Linked DNA regions of Mus musculus. The protein of the gene in region 1 interacts with the protein of each later gene in a biochemical or structural test. Links are inferred from orthologs where the notes say so. Each region holds a gene or a part of one and is shown on either strand. Other genes may lie near its edges.

Evidence for each region.
Region 2: of the proteins of Chek2 (region 1) and Ppm1d, one has a biochemical effect on the other in vitro, tested with the Homo sapiens proteins (2 studies listed by BioGRID, with this or other methods). The link is inferred for Mus musculus from reciprocal best matches to the Homo sapiens genes CHEK2 and PPM1D.
Region 3: the proteins of Chek2 (region 1) and Ppp2r5a form a complex in vitro, tested with the Homo sapiens proteins (2 studies listed by BioGRID and IntAct, with this or other methods). The link is inferred for Mus musculus from reciprocal best matches to the Homo sapiens genes CHEK2 and PPP2R5A.

Annotation. Positions count from the first base shown.
Region 1 is NC_000071.6:110,870,855-110,874,600, reverse strand, and holds the end of Chek2 (serine/threonine-protein kinase Chk2), read right to left. Parts: intron 2,575-3,746; coding exon 2,494-2,574; intron 1,122-2,493; coding exon 1,035-1,121; 3' UTR 461-1,034; downstream 1-460. UniProt on the Homo sapiens protein: Serine/threonine-protein kinase which is required for checkpoint-mediated cell cycle arrest, activation of DNA repair and apoptosis in response to the presence of DNA double-strand breaks.
Region 2 is NC_000077.6:85,309,815-85,313,560, reverse strand, and holds the start of Ppm1d (protein phosphatase 1D), read right to left. Parts: upstream 2,308-3,746; 5' UTR 2,089-2,307; coding exon 1,638-2,088; intron 1-1,637. UniProt on the Homo sapiens protein: Involved in the negative regulation of p53 expression. Required for the relief of p53-dependent checkpoint mediated cell cycle arrest.
Region 3 is NC_000067.6:191,394,588-191,398,333, forward strand, and holds the start of Ppp2r5a (serine/threonine-protein phosphatase 2A 56 kDa regulatory subunit alpha isoform), read right to left. Parts: upstream 2,455-3,746; 5' UTR 1,830-2,454; coding exon 1,649-1,829; intron 1-1,648. UniProt on the Homo sapiens protein: The B regulatory subunit might modulate substrate selectivity and catalytic activity, and might also direct the localization of the catalytic enzyme to a particular subcellular compartment.

The DNA.
Region 1 (3,746 bases):
AGAGGGAGAGAGTGTGTTTAGACAGAGAAAAAGTTTAGAGATAGAAAAAAAGAGTTTAGAAATAGAAAGTTTAGAGAGTTTAGAGAGAGAAAAAGAAAGTTGGGAGATAGAGAAACGAGAGAGAGAAAGAGTTTAGACAGAGAAAAAGTTTAGACAGAGAAAAAAAGAGTTTAAAGATAAAAGAGAAAGTTTAGAGAAAGAGATTGTTTCTCTGTGTACCCTGGCTGTCCTAAAATTTGCTCTAAAGATCAGACAGGCCTCAAAGTCAACTCAAACATTGTCCTGCCTCTAGAGTGCTGGGATCATAGGTGTAGATTACCATGGCCAGTGGGACTTGGACCTTCTAAGGGACTTTTAGAATTTGTATTTAGACGGATGAGCCTAAAACCAGAGTGACATCCTGATAGGGCAGACTGGCAATGTGAGGATCCAGATGAAAAGCCACAACAAACTACTAACATTGTTTTAGAATATTCTTTTTAATGATTATGTGTTTCTGTGTACATGAACACATGTGTAGTAGGTGACCAGAGAGGCCAGGTGAGGGCATCCGATCCAGAAATGTAGTTACATGGGTGCTGGGAACTGAACTGCAGCCCTCAACAGGAGTGGTGTTAATCTCTCAACACCACCCCCTAACATTTTTCTTAAAATGAAAGAAAGAAAGAAAGAAATCTAAAGTGCAGGTCATCAAACAATCAGCCCAGATTTCCACGTTTTTTAATCGTGTATCTGTGATGGAAAAGCAATTGTTCCATCATATAGGCTATTTTGTTTTGTTTCTTGTTTGTTTTTTTTTCCAAGACAGGGTTTCTCTGTGTAGTCCTGGCTATCCTGGAACTCACTCTGTAGACCAGGCTGGCCTTGAACTCAGAAATCTGCCTGCCTCTGCCTCCCAAGTGCTGGGATTAAAGGAGTGGGCCACAACTGCCTGGCTATATTTTTTAAAAAATATATACATATAAAAAAAAGATGTCAAGATGGAGAAGACAATTGGAGCGTGGAAGGAAGCACATTTCTTTCACATTCAAAGCTCACAACACAGCCCCACACACAGACAGGCGTTTTGTGCTCGGCATACCCTCCACCTCCAGTTCCAGGGGCCGCTTTTGACTGGAAGTCTGGAAATAAAGCAAAAGGAGAAGTGTTTAAGAGAAAGCACAGCTTCTATCAAAGCTCCTCATAGTTCAGTAAACTAGGGGCATTTCATGGAAATGACTAGTTGTCATGACAACCGAATCCTCCTCACACACCTCTGGAATCAAGATGCTTATCCATGCTCCCTGGCGATTTCTAACCACTAATAAATGTACAGCCACTTAAAAAAAAAAAAAAAACCTTTCAAGTGACACAAAAGCAAGTTCAAATTGGATCTTTCCTAGCAAAATTCTGGGTGAGGTATGATTGTAAAGCAGCCAGAGCTCCCGGCTCCCACAGGGTTACCAGGGAGCTCACACACGCTACTGTGCCACACCAGCTATTATCGTTAAATGCACTTTCTATTTAAAATGCCTCCATTTGAGATGAGTTCCTCAGAATATGATCCCACCGTAGGCTGAAGTATATCCGAATGTGGACAGCAGGCAGCACCAACAGCTTTGCTTGGTTGCTGTCTCCTGACACTGTCTACTTATAGCTACTTAGACTTTTCCTATTCATAAATTCAAGAAAGAACAGTAAGGAAAAAGGATCGAGATCACTGACCAAATATACCACTGATCAGGTATAACTTACAAAGAACTTGAAAATGATAAAACTGCAATCAAGAAACTTCCTCTCCCAGCACTTGGGAGGCAGAGGCAGGCGGATTTCTGGGATCGAGGCCAGCCTGGTCTACAGAGTGAGTTCCAGGACAGCCAGGGCTACACAGAGAAACCCTGTCTCGGAAAAAAAAAAAAGCAAACCAAACCAAACCAAACCAAACCAAACAAGAAATTGCCTCAATAAAACCATGGTAAAGCAAAACTTTTACTTTCTAACAACAGAAAGTTTAAAACAGAAACCATCATAGACTACTTACCCAAGTCTTACACTTTCTGAAAACTTAAATTCGTGCCTCTAACAGGATCTTCCGTCTTCCGTTAGATTGGCAAGCCCTATCTAATGTTCCAATTCATTCAACATATCCTGCGTTATTAAGTCTTCCAGGGCTGCAGGAGCATATCAAAACAAAACGCAGAAACACTGGCTCGGGCTGGAGGGCTTACCTAAGCAGCATTAGGCCGCAGGTTCAATCCCAAGTACGGCCAGCAAGTAGAGACGATATTACTACATGATATTATGCAAGCAAGCTGGCCTGTGGGTCCCATTCCTCCTGCCTCTGTTGAGAGTCAATGCCCTATCTCAGCCTTCTAAGAGTATATGTATGTGTCACTAAGCCTGCCATTAATCCTTTTCTTAAAAGCTGAGCACCTGCCTCCCCACGGAAAGTTCAGTCATCAGACTTGCTCATCGGCAACTTAATCCTAGACCACAGTGAAGTCATCAGAATACCTGGGCGGGAGCCACAGGGAGGGTCACCGAGTTCTTTTCCTGCACCAGGAGATCCTGAAATTTCTTCTTCATGTACTCATCCTGTGAAGAAATCAAAAGGTATATAGAGATAGGCTGCATATAAGGCAAAGCAAGCTCCCAGAGTGACAGGGAAATGCCCAAGGCTACCTTCCTGACAGCAAACCTCATACCTTTGCAGAAGTTTCCTAATGAAGGGACTTGGCTGTTCGCCTCTGCCTTCTTGGAACAGTCTGTGCTCAATCAGCACTCGCTACATCAAACTCAAGGGTCCTGGGCTCTTAACCAACCAGAGAACCAGACCCCAGCTATGGTGCAGAACCAGCAGCATGCTGTGGGGAACACTAGTCAGGAGGCCAGAACACAAGGTTGACACTGTGCCACCCCTAGTCCTCACAGAACCAGACCCCTCCCTCCCTGACACAAACAGAGCTAATTTTGCAGGTCATCTGAACAGCTAATCCAGCAAGTGAGAAGCAAGTTGACAGATGAGCCAGAGCCTAAAAAAAACCTCGGACCCACATCTCATGGAAGGGATGGCAATAAACAGGACCAAATACTGTAGGTATTCTGTGCTATAGGAAGGAGAGGTGGAGCAGGGGAGCCATAAACAAGGAGAAATCTTCTCCAACACACGTAACTAGCTCCCGCTTCCCTCATGGTAAAGTCCCACAGGGTTCAAGCACAAGCACGCAGAAGCTCTGGGAGGCAGCCTGGCACTGTTCCAAGTTCTCAGAAGCATAAAACATCTAGGTAGAGACTAGAGAGAGATGCTCAGAGGCAAGAGTGGGAACCGCTCTTGCAGAGGACCTGCATCTGGTTTATAGCACCCACATCAAGCACCTTACAAGCGTTTGTAATCCCTCAGGAGCAGGGGATCTAAGTCCTCTTCTGGACTGTTCAGGCATTGAACTCACACATACACATGGTCTCACTCTGTAGCCCAGGCTAGCCTGGGATGAACCACTATGCAAACCAGGCAGTCCTTGAATCACAGAGACCTGCCTGTCTCTGTCTCTTCCTGAATGCTGGGTTTAAGGAAAGCACAACTATGGCCAGAAAAAGAAATCTTTAAAAAAAAAAGACTGCACACACCTCAATCATAGTAGCCAGGAGGCAGAGGGAGGTGAGTTTTTGTGTGTCTGAAACCGTTCCCATTTACACTTTGTCAACTTAGCACCCCATGCACTTTCTCTCTCTATTTTTCTACCTCTCTCATGGCATCAAAGATAAAA
Region 2 (3,746 bases), on another chromosome or scaffold:
CAAGTGCTAGGATTACCAGCATTAGCTACCACACTTCAATATGAAGGGTCAATCTTTTTTTTCCCCCCCTTTAAAGAAAGGGTCTCTTTACTAGGCATGGCTGTCCTTGAAACTCTCTCTGTAGAGTAGACCAGGCTGGCCTCAAACTCAGAGATATCTGCCTACCTTGGCCTCTCAAGGACTAGTATTAAAGGCATGTACCACCACACCTAGCTAAAGTTCAACTATTAAAGGCTTTTGATTTTTAAAGCATATGGGAAATTCATATGCCCCAAGTGTACTGCAAAATAAATGAACTCTGTAATAGGTCTTTGTGTCTAATCTTAATCTTCTTTGTCTCCCTATCCACTTTTAATTCCTCTTCAGCCAATAATATAATGCATTTCTAGAATAAACTACAATGCTTTCAAGCTCTACTCAGCCCACACGAAAACAAAATAAATCCATGATAGGGGCCCAAGGGATTTGCTGGGACCTGCCTCCAAAACCCTCAGTGGCTGGTCTTCAAGTCAATCAAATACTTGGCAAAAGGCCCAACAGATGGAAAACAGATTTGAAACCAGCTAGCCTATACTGTATGACAATGCCTTTCTAAAAATACTGTGTATTTTACAAATCTGTAACAGCACTGAGTCTCTGTCTCTTTAATGAAAATAGAGTGACTTTCTTACACCACTATAAACGAAGGGTTTTTAGTGGCAGGAACATAAATTCTTTTCTGTAACAAAAATATGCACCATATACCCAGGGCAAAATAAGCAGCCATATAACCCTCGGGCATTTCTGTTATCTACAGAAGTACTGTCTGTCTCAGAGAGATTCAAAATTTAGATGGGACTACAATCACACTTAACTTTTAGGAATTAAAATACCTGTTACCAAAAACTACTTTGATGAGTAGTGACATGAGTGCTTTTCAGTATGAACTTTTGGAAAACTGAATGCAATTCTAAGTATCCCACACACACACACCAAGAAGTTAACACATGCCCCTAACATGGAGCCAATTTAATATTTAACACGTTGCACACCTTTCTCATAAACAATTCAAGGGATTACCCCAAAACACTATCACAAAAGTAAGTTGCCTATGTTACACTTCAGCCCTTCTAAATTGACTTACATCGAGCCAGAGCCATTCAGGTCAATCTGAAGAAGTGACACCACCGGTAGGAGGCAACCAAGAGGAACAAGCCCAACAAGAACAAAATTATGACAGATGCTAAGGGAACGCTCCAATTCTTGCCACCTCCTGCTTCTTTCACCTAGCCCGTGTAGAAACGTTTCTTAAATTTATCCCTCGGTTACAATCTGGCGCCGGCATTCAAACACTTCTGAGCGTGCTGCTACCAAAGTGAATTAGCGAAGGGAGAGGGGAGACTGTTGCCCCCTGATCGTAGGAGGGAGGAGATAATGCAAGGAGCGGTTGCTGGGAGACAAGCCATCCTAGCGTTTCCGAGGCCACTCGGTGTGCCTAGAACTCCAACCATGACAGTCTTCACTCGCATCCCTTGTTGGACAGCGTCGCTTGATGGATAGCGCTCTTGGTACCGGGGAGGCCCACGCGGTGCTGATGCTATAAAAAGCCCAGGGGGATAAGGGGAGAAAAGAAAAAAAGAGGCGGGCGGGGAACTTACCCAGTTTCTTCCACATGGCGAGGTGACAGGCGAGGAAACCTTTGCGGATGGCAGCGCACACCTTGGCGGGCTCGGACGAGGTGAAGCCTTTCTGCTTCTTGATGAAACCCCACAAGTGCTCCCGGGCAAACTGTGCCGCCTCCCGACCGCCGTGCCCGTCGCACACTGCAAAGAAGGCCACCGAAGAGCGGCGGCGACAGCAGCGGCCAGCGGGTAGCGAGGCCGCGGCGTCCGGGGCAGGGTCGCGGGCCGCCGCCGGGCCTTTTTCCGATGGCCCGACGCCGGCGAGAGTGGGGGTCGCCGGCAACCCGAGCGCCCGCCGCGGTACCGGCGCCGGCTTGTCCTCCGCAGCCGGCTCGGGCTCCACCACGATCTGAGTTACGTCCTCCATGTACTTCCTCCCGCCCTGGTCCGAGAAGACGCTCACTCCCAGCGAGTACAGCCCCGCCATGGCCGGCTGCCCGGGATCCCGCCGTTCCCACGCAGCCCGCCGAATTCCGAGGCGGGAGACACACTCGCCGCTCGCCGGCCAACTATTGTTTATCTTCGACGAAGCCGAGAGTGAAGAGGAGGCGGTCCCCGCGGCGGTGGGGGGGGGCGCGTGATGTCGGGACTTGTCCGCGAGAGCTGGGCCGGTCGAGTCGCGGGCGAGAGGAGCCGAGCAGCTGCGCCTGCGCACTGAACTCGCTCCCCGCCCGCCCGCGCCCACCATACAAATCAGACGTTCTTTCCCCCCCTTTCTCCTGATGACGTCACTCGGCTCGCTGAGACAGACCAATCAGGAGTCAAGAAGAGCAAGCTCGCCCCCGCCCTCCTTCCACCCCCGCATCTCTCTGCAACCGCTGATCTCGCTCGGCCCGCCGACCGGGGGAGCGCGCTCCTTGCCCGGTTTGTTTTCTCCAGCCTAGGGCTTCTGTACCCTGGGGGTTTTCCGCTGTTACTAAGCGGCTGAAGCCTCAACCTGTCATCTTTTTTTCCCCTTAAATCCCTAACGTGAGACTTCTGGCTTTTCCCCTTTGGTCCTTTTGCAGAGCCAGTTTTGCCTCCCGCGATTGTGGAAAATTTGCAGAGGTCAAAGGTAGACTTGACCTTCCACTTATTTCAAGCGAAATGGCGCGAAAATGCCCTGCAAAGTCGTTGGTCCGTGCGCTAGACCAGCGTAGCACGCGTGAACTGGCTTGGGTGGGACTTGTCCGGCTGGGAGTTAAGGGAAGCAGTCGGGTTTACTTAAGAAGACTTGGAATTTTCCACCGCCAGTTGCACAGCCCTGTTTTCCGCGATAACGTTAGGTCGGAGACCTGTCGGCGAGTTTAATTCCTAACACTTTACAGCCCTTTTTTTTTTTTAAGTATTTTGCATATTTCTTCCTCTTTTCAGCGTCGTTAATACTTTTTCGGACTCGTCTTGAATACAGCTATTACTGCAGAATCTAAGTTACCGTTTGGAAAAGGAGCATACAACAGGATCTCCATGCCCTAAAGACACGGTTATTTCCCTCCGTTCACAGAAGTTGACAGTCCCAACAACAAAATGAATGCTTTTAGACTGATTTCCACGAAATTGAAATAAGTTCTCGAGTGATCAACTTAATATTTTCTTAGCACCATATTCTTTTGAGGGAGTCAACGTGTTCCTTTATTATTTTCTGTACAGCCTTTGAGATTTCACAAAAAGCGTAATGGAAACTTATTTACAGCAGCATGGGAAATGCAAACAACAAGGAAAGGCTTTATGCTGGCCTGCCTTTCAACAACAGTTTCTATACCTCCCAAGACAATTCCTTTTAAAATTGTCATTAAATATTTATTTCATTTTCATTATGTGTGTATCTCTGTGGATGTTGTGTGGAGTCCCAACCCTCCGCCTACAACTGGAGTTACAGGTGGTTGTGAGCCAGATAGGCGCTCCAAACCAAAAAGCAGTGCAGGCTCTTAACCACTGAGCCATCTCTCCACTCCCCTAAAACAGCATTCTGAAATAACTGGGCCTTAACTTTTTTTAATTACTTTTTTTTTATGTACATTGGTGTTTTGCCTGTATGTGTGAGGGAGTCAGATTTCCTGGAACAGAAGTTACATACAGTTGTGAGCTGCCTTGTAGGTGCTGAAA
Region 3 (3,746 bases), on another chromosome or scaffold:
CAACTGGATTTAAAGCAGTTTTTCCTGAGGATTTTATTTTCAAGTAAAAAGTTTTACTTCCTCAATCGAATCTGCATCAGTTTATCATGAATAATACCTTATGGGGAACACTATACACGCAAATTTCAATTTCTTTCTACTACTGACCAAATTCTGTATGTGAAAACATTGGCAGTTCCTGCTACATCTTCAACCAAACATCAGGTAACTTTGAGTCTGATTACTGATTCTGTGGATTTCTGTCCGTCTTAAAGGCAAAATCTACTACAGAGGCATCTCAAGACTAACCAGATGTTTAAAATTCAATTACTAGCAGAGGAACTAAGAAGTACAACACTAAGAAGAAGAAAACCACGTTAGCAAATTAGATACATAAGAAAAATGCTAGTATCGAGACTTCAAACTAAAATTAACAGGATAAACTAATGAAAAACAAAGGATAAAATAACTCTTAATTAAGTATAAAAGCTTAAACCTCTGAGTAGCAATTCACTATCCTAACAGGTAGGACAGAGTTATTTTAGGCTATGGCTGCACTCCACTGACAGTGCTGTATCAATTTGAACAATTCTAGTATGGTAAAGAGCAATAAAGCAACAAATGAGACACCACACACCTAACATAAACTATTTTCAAAAGTCTGTGTGATTCTACCAGTGGTATATCCTTAATTCAGAAGCACCCCGAGAGGCAGATGTAGAGTTTAAATGGGGTTCCAAGCTGTTGCTGGTCAACTGTTGATTTGATCTAGGGTTTTCTTTACACTCCTTGCCAAACTAAGTCAGGATTCATAGACTCAAAGACAAATCACAACCAGATTGGCCTTGAAAGGGATGCTGGATCTTTGTCAAAAGAATTGAAAAATCTGCTGATCATTTATCTATTTTGGCATGAGCCTTTCTTTTATTTCTTGGCCTTGTGACTCATTCTCTAGGTTTCTATCAGGTTGCAAAGAATTTCTTAAATATCTAGGAACATAAACATCTTTTCCATTAATGACATCTAGCTCATAAAATGCAAAGACGTAAAATTATTAAATTAAAAGCCAGTAATTCTCAAAGAATAAGCAAGAACGCCAGTAAACAACTCATGAAAAGCCTCCAAACCGGGTGAGAAAAGAGAGCCAAAAGGAGTGCCAAGCACTCCTGCGAGGCATTAGGCACGGATACCAATCTGAATTACTTACAAAACCTTACAAAGTCCTTGGAAGCATAGCCGCGCTAACCAAGTTCCCGTTCCACGGCAAAGAAATTACTCTTCCTTCATAACCTCTCCAAAGACAATCGAGGTCTTCTGAGGTATAACATTTACGTCTAACGAGACAGTAAGATCTGTCACCTGGTCCCGGTTTTAAGCTAGTTCTATATAGCTACGTCTAAAGGCCAGCTAACTCGGCAGCAGTTTGTTTGGACCCTGGATGTGACAACTGAGGGACAAACAGAGAAAGAGAAGAACTAGCTAAGCTTGGAGAAAACCAGGGTTGAGGCTCAGCGAGGCAGGGAGTCGAAAGACTGGACGAGGGAAGGGAGCGCAGGTACCTCTGGGGACCCTGAAATCGCCAAGGCAAGGGCAGGCGGGGCAAGCGCGCAGGTGGGAAGGGGAGTAGGGCTTGCCCCGGGAGCGCGGGCCAGGGGCGGCCGGGGGTTACCTTTGAGCTGGGGCAGGGGGTGCAGCTCCGCCTGGCTGCCCTGGCTGCGGAACTGCGACGAGCCCTGAGAGCGCTTCTGCCTCTGCGCCTTGCGCACCGATTTCCGGGTGAAGCCGTCCACTTTCTCCGAGGCCGAGATGGCGGCGCAGGCAACTGGTGCGGGCGGCGACGGCGACGACATCTCGGCGACCCGGGCGATCGGCGCCTCCCGCGGCGGCTGGCCCGGGCAATCGGCGGGGGACGGGCACGGCGGGCCTGCGCCCCTGCGCCCCGGGCCCCGGCCGCGCCGCCCTCGCGCTCCGCGAGCTGCTCCTCACCCGACAGCGCCTCACGGCCGCATCCCCGCGCCGCGCGGCCGCCTCCCGGGGCTGGCGGAGGGGAGGGCGGGGGCGCGCGGGCCGCACAAGTTGCTGACGCCCGGCGACGAGGGCGGGCGGAGGCGAGCCCGAAGTTTGGACGGCTGGGGCGAGCGCGCGGGTGCGGACGCCGGGCGCGCCTCGCGGCCCCTTAGCGCGCGGAGTCCGGACAGGTCTTCAGCGGCTGCCGCCCGCGCTGTCCGCCCGGCCGGGAGCCTCCTCCCGGGGCGCTTCCATCGCGGGTCCGCGCGAGCCGCTGCCGAGCGCTCGTTCTCCTGTCAGCGATGGCCCCTCATCGCCCGGGGCGGCCACCCGTACCCCGATCCTTGGATCCTTGGATCCCTGGAGCGTCGCCCTCGCTCAGCCTCCCGCGCCCACCGGCCGCCCACGGAGCACGCCCGGGAAGCAACTGCTACAACTTGAGAGGGTGGCTGGTTCGGGTGAGGGGGGACTCGGTGCGCGTGCGTGCGCGCTCCCGCGGCCCGGGGGAGGTCCTCGCGGGGGGTGGAGGAAGGAGTTTGACTGACAACTTCCGCGGGGTCCCACTAGCCTCCGGAGTCTCCGGAGGGGGCCGGGGCGGGAAAGCATGCCAGTGCCCTCGGCCAATCGCAGGGCTAAGCGGCAGACGGGGGTGGGGGCGTGGCCTCCCGGCTGTCTATCAAGAGTCCATAGCTGGGTGGGAGGGAGGGGCTACGTGACAGACGCGGGCCACAACCAATCGCAAGTGAAGGCAGTGAGCGGGGTGCCTTGTGCGTCACAACTGTAAAGGAAAGCTCTCGGGAGGGAGAAAGGGGAAACGCCGCGCCGCTGTCGGCTCTTGTGTACGCCTGCGCTAGGCTCCAGGCTGGGATTGTTCTCCAGACAGCGCGTTAAGAGGGAAACTACACAGGCAGCTCAGAAAGCAGAAGAGCGTCCTCCCTCTCTTTGCGCCCTGCTTACCAATGAGAACATGAAGCGAGGGCCGGGGTGCCCAAGAACACCAAGCATTGCGTCAGTCGAACGGGGGCGGGGCCAAGGTCGTGTCAGAGCAACGTGATTGACAGGCGAAGGAGCCCCGGGAGAGAAATGAGCTTGTCCAATCGGAGCGCGGGGCTACGTTCTTGGGCGGGCCTTCTCCTCTCCGGTCCTAAACCGCGTAATTGGTGGTTGGGGAGTCCATTTGTAGCTCCCGAGGTCTTGGCGCCGCGGTTCGCTGATCGCTGATCTCGCGTGGGGTTTGGGCAAGCTCGTCTCTACCACTTCAGAGAGCTCTGCAAGTCTAGGCCCTCTGAAAAGAAGTTTCCCGTTTCGAACTTAGCCCAAGTTTAACCTCTTCTGCTGAGGCCCTTCAGTCATCTGTAGTCAAGTTCAGATTAGCTGATTTGGGGAATCTCTTCCTAAGAGATTCCGTCTAAGTTTTATATTTAAAGCCAAGAACTGCTCATGTTAGCTTTGGGCATCCGTATGATGCTTCAACAGAAAGTGATCCCGCCTGCCCATAGTGCCCCCTTTGCTCTGCAGTCTCTTCTGCAAGTCCCACACCTTTTCCTTTTGACATAAAAACGGAGGTTAAGTAGGCTGGCCTAATGCTTGAGGAGGATCGAGAAGTATGCAAAAGTAGAGTTCTAAACCTACACTCAAAACATTTGCTTAACCAAATTATATAACAACAGAAGAATGTATAACGGAAATATGGTGTGTATACACATATTTTTCCACCATAAAGAACGAAATAACATGTAGGAAAATAGGTCCAACTGGAG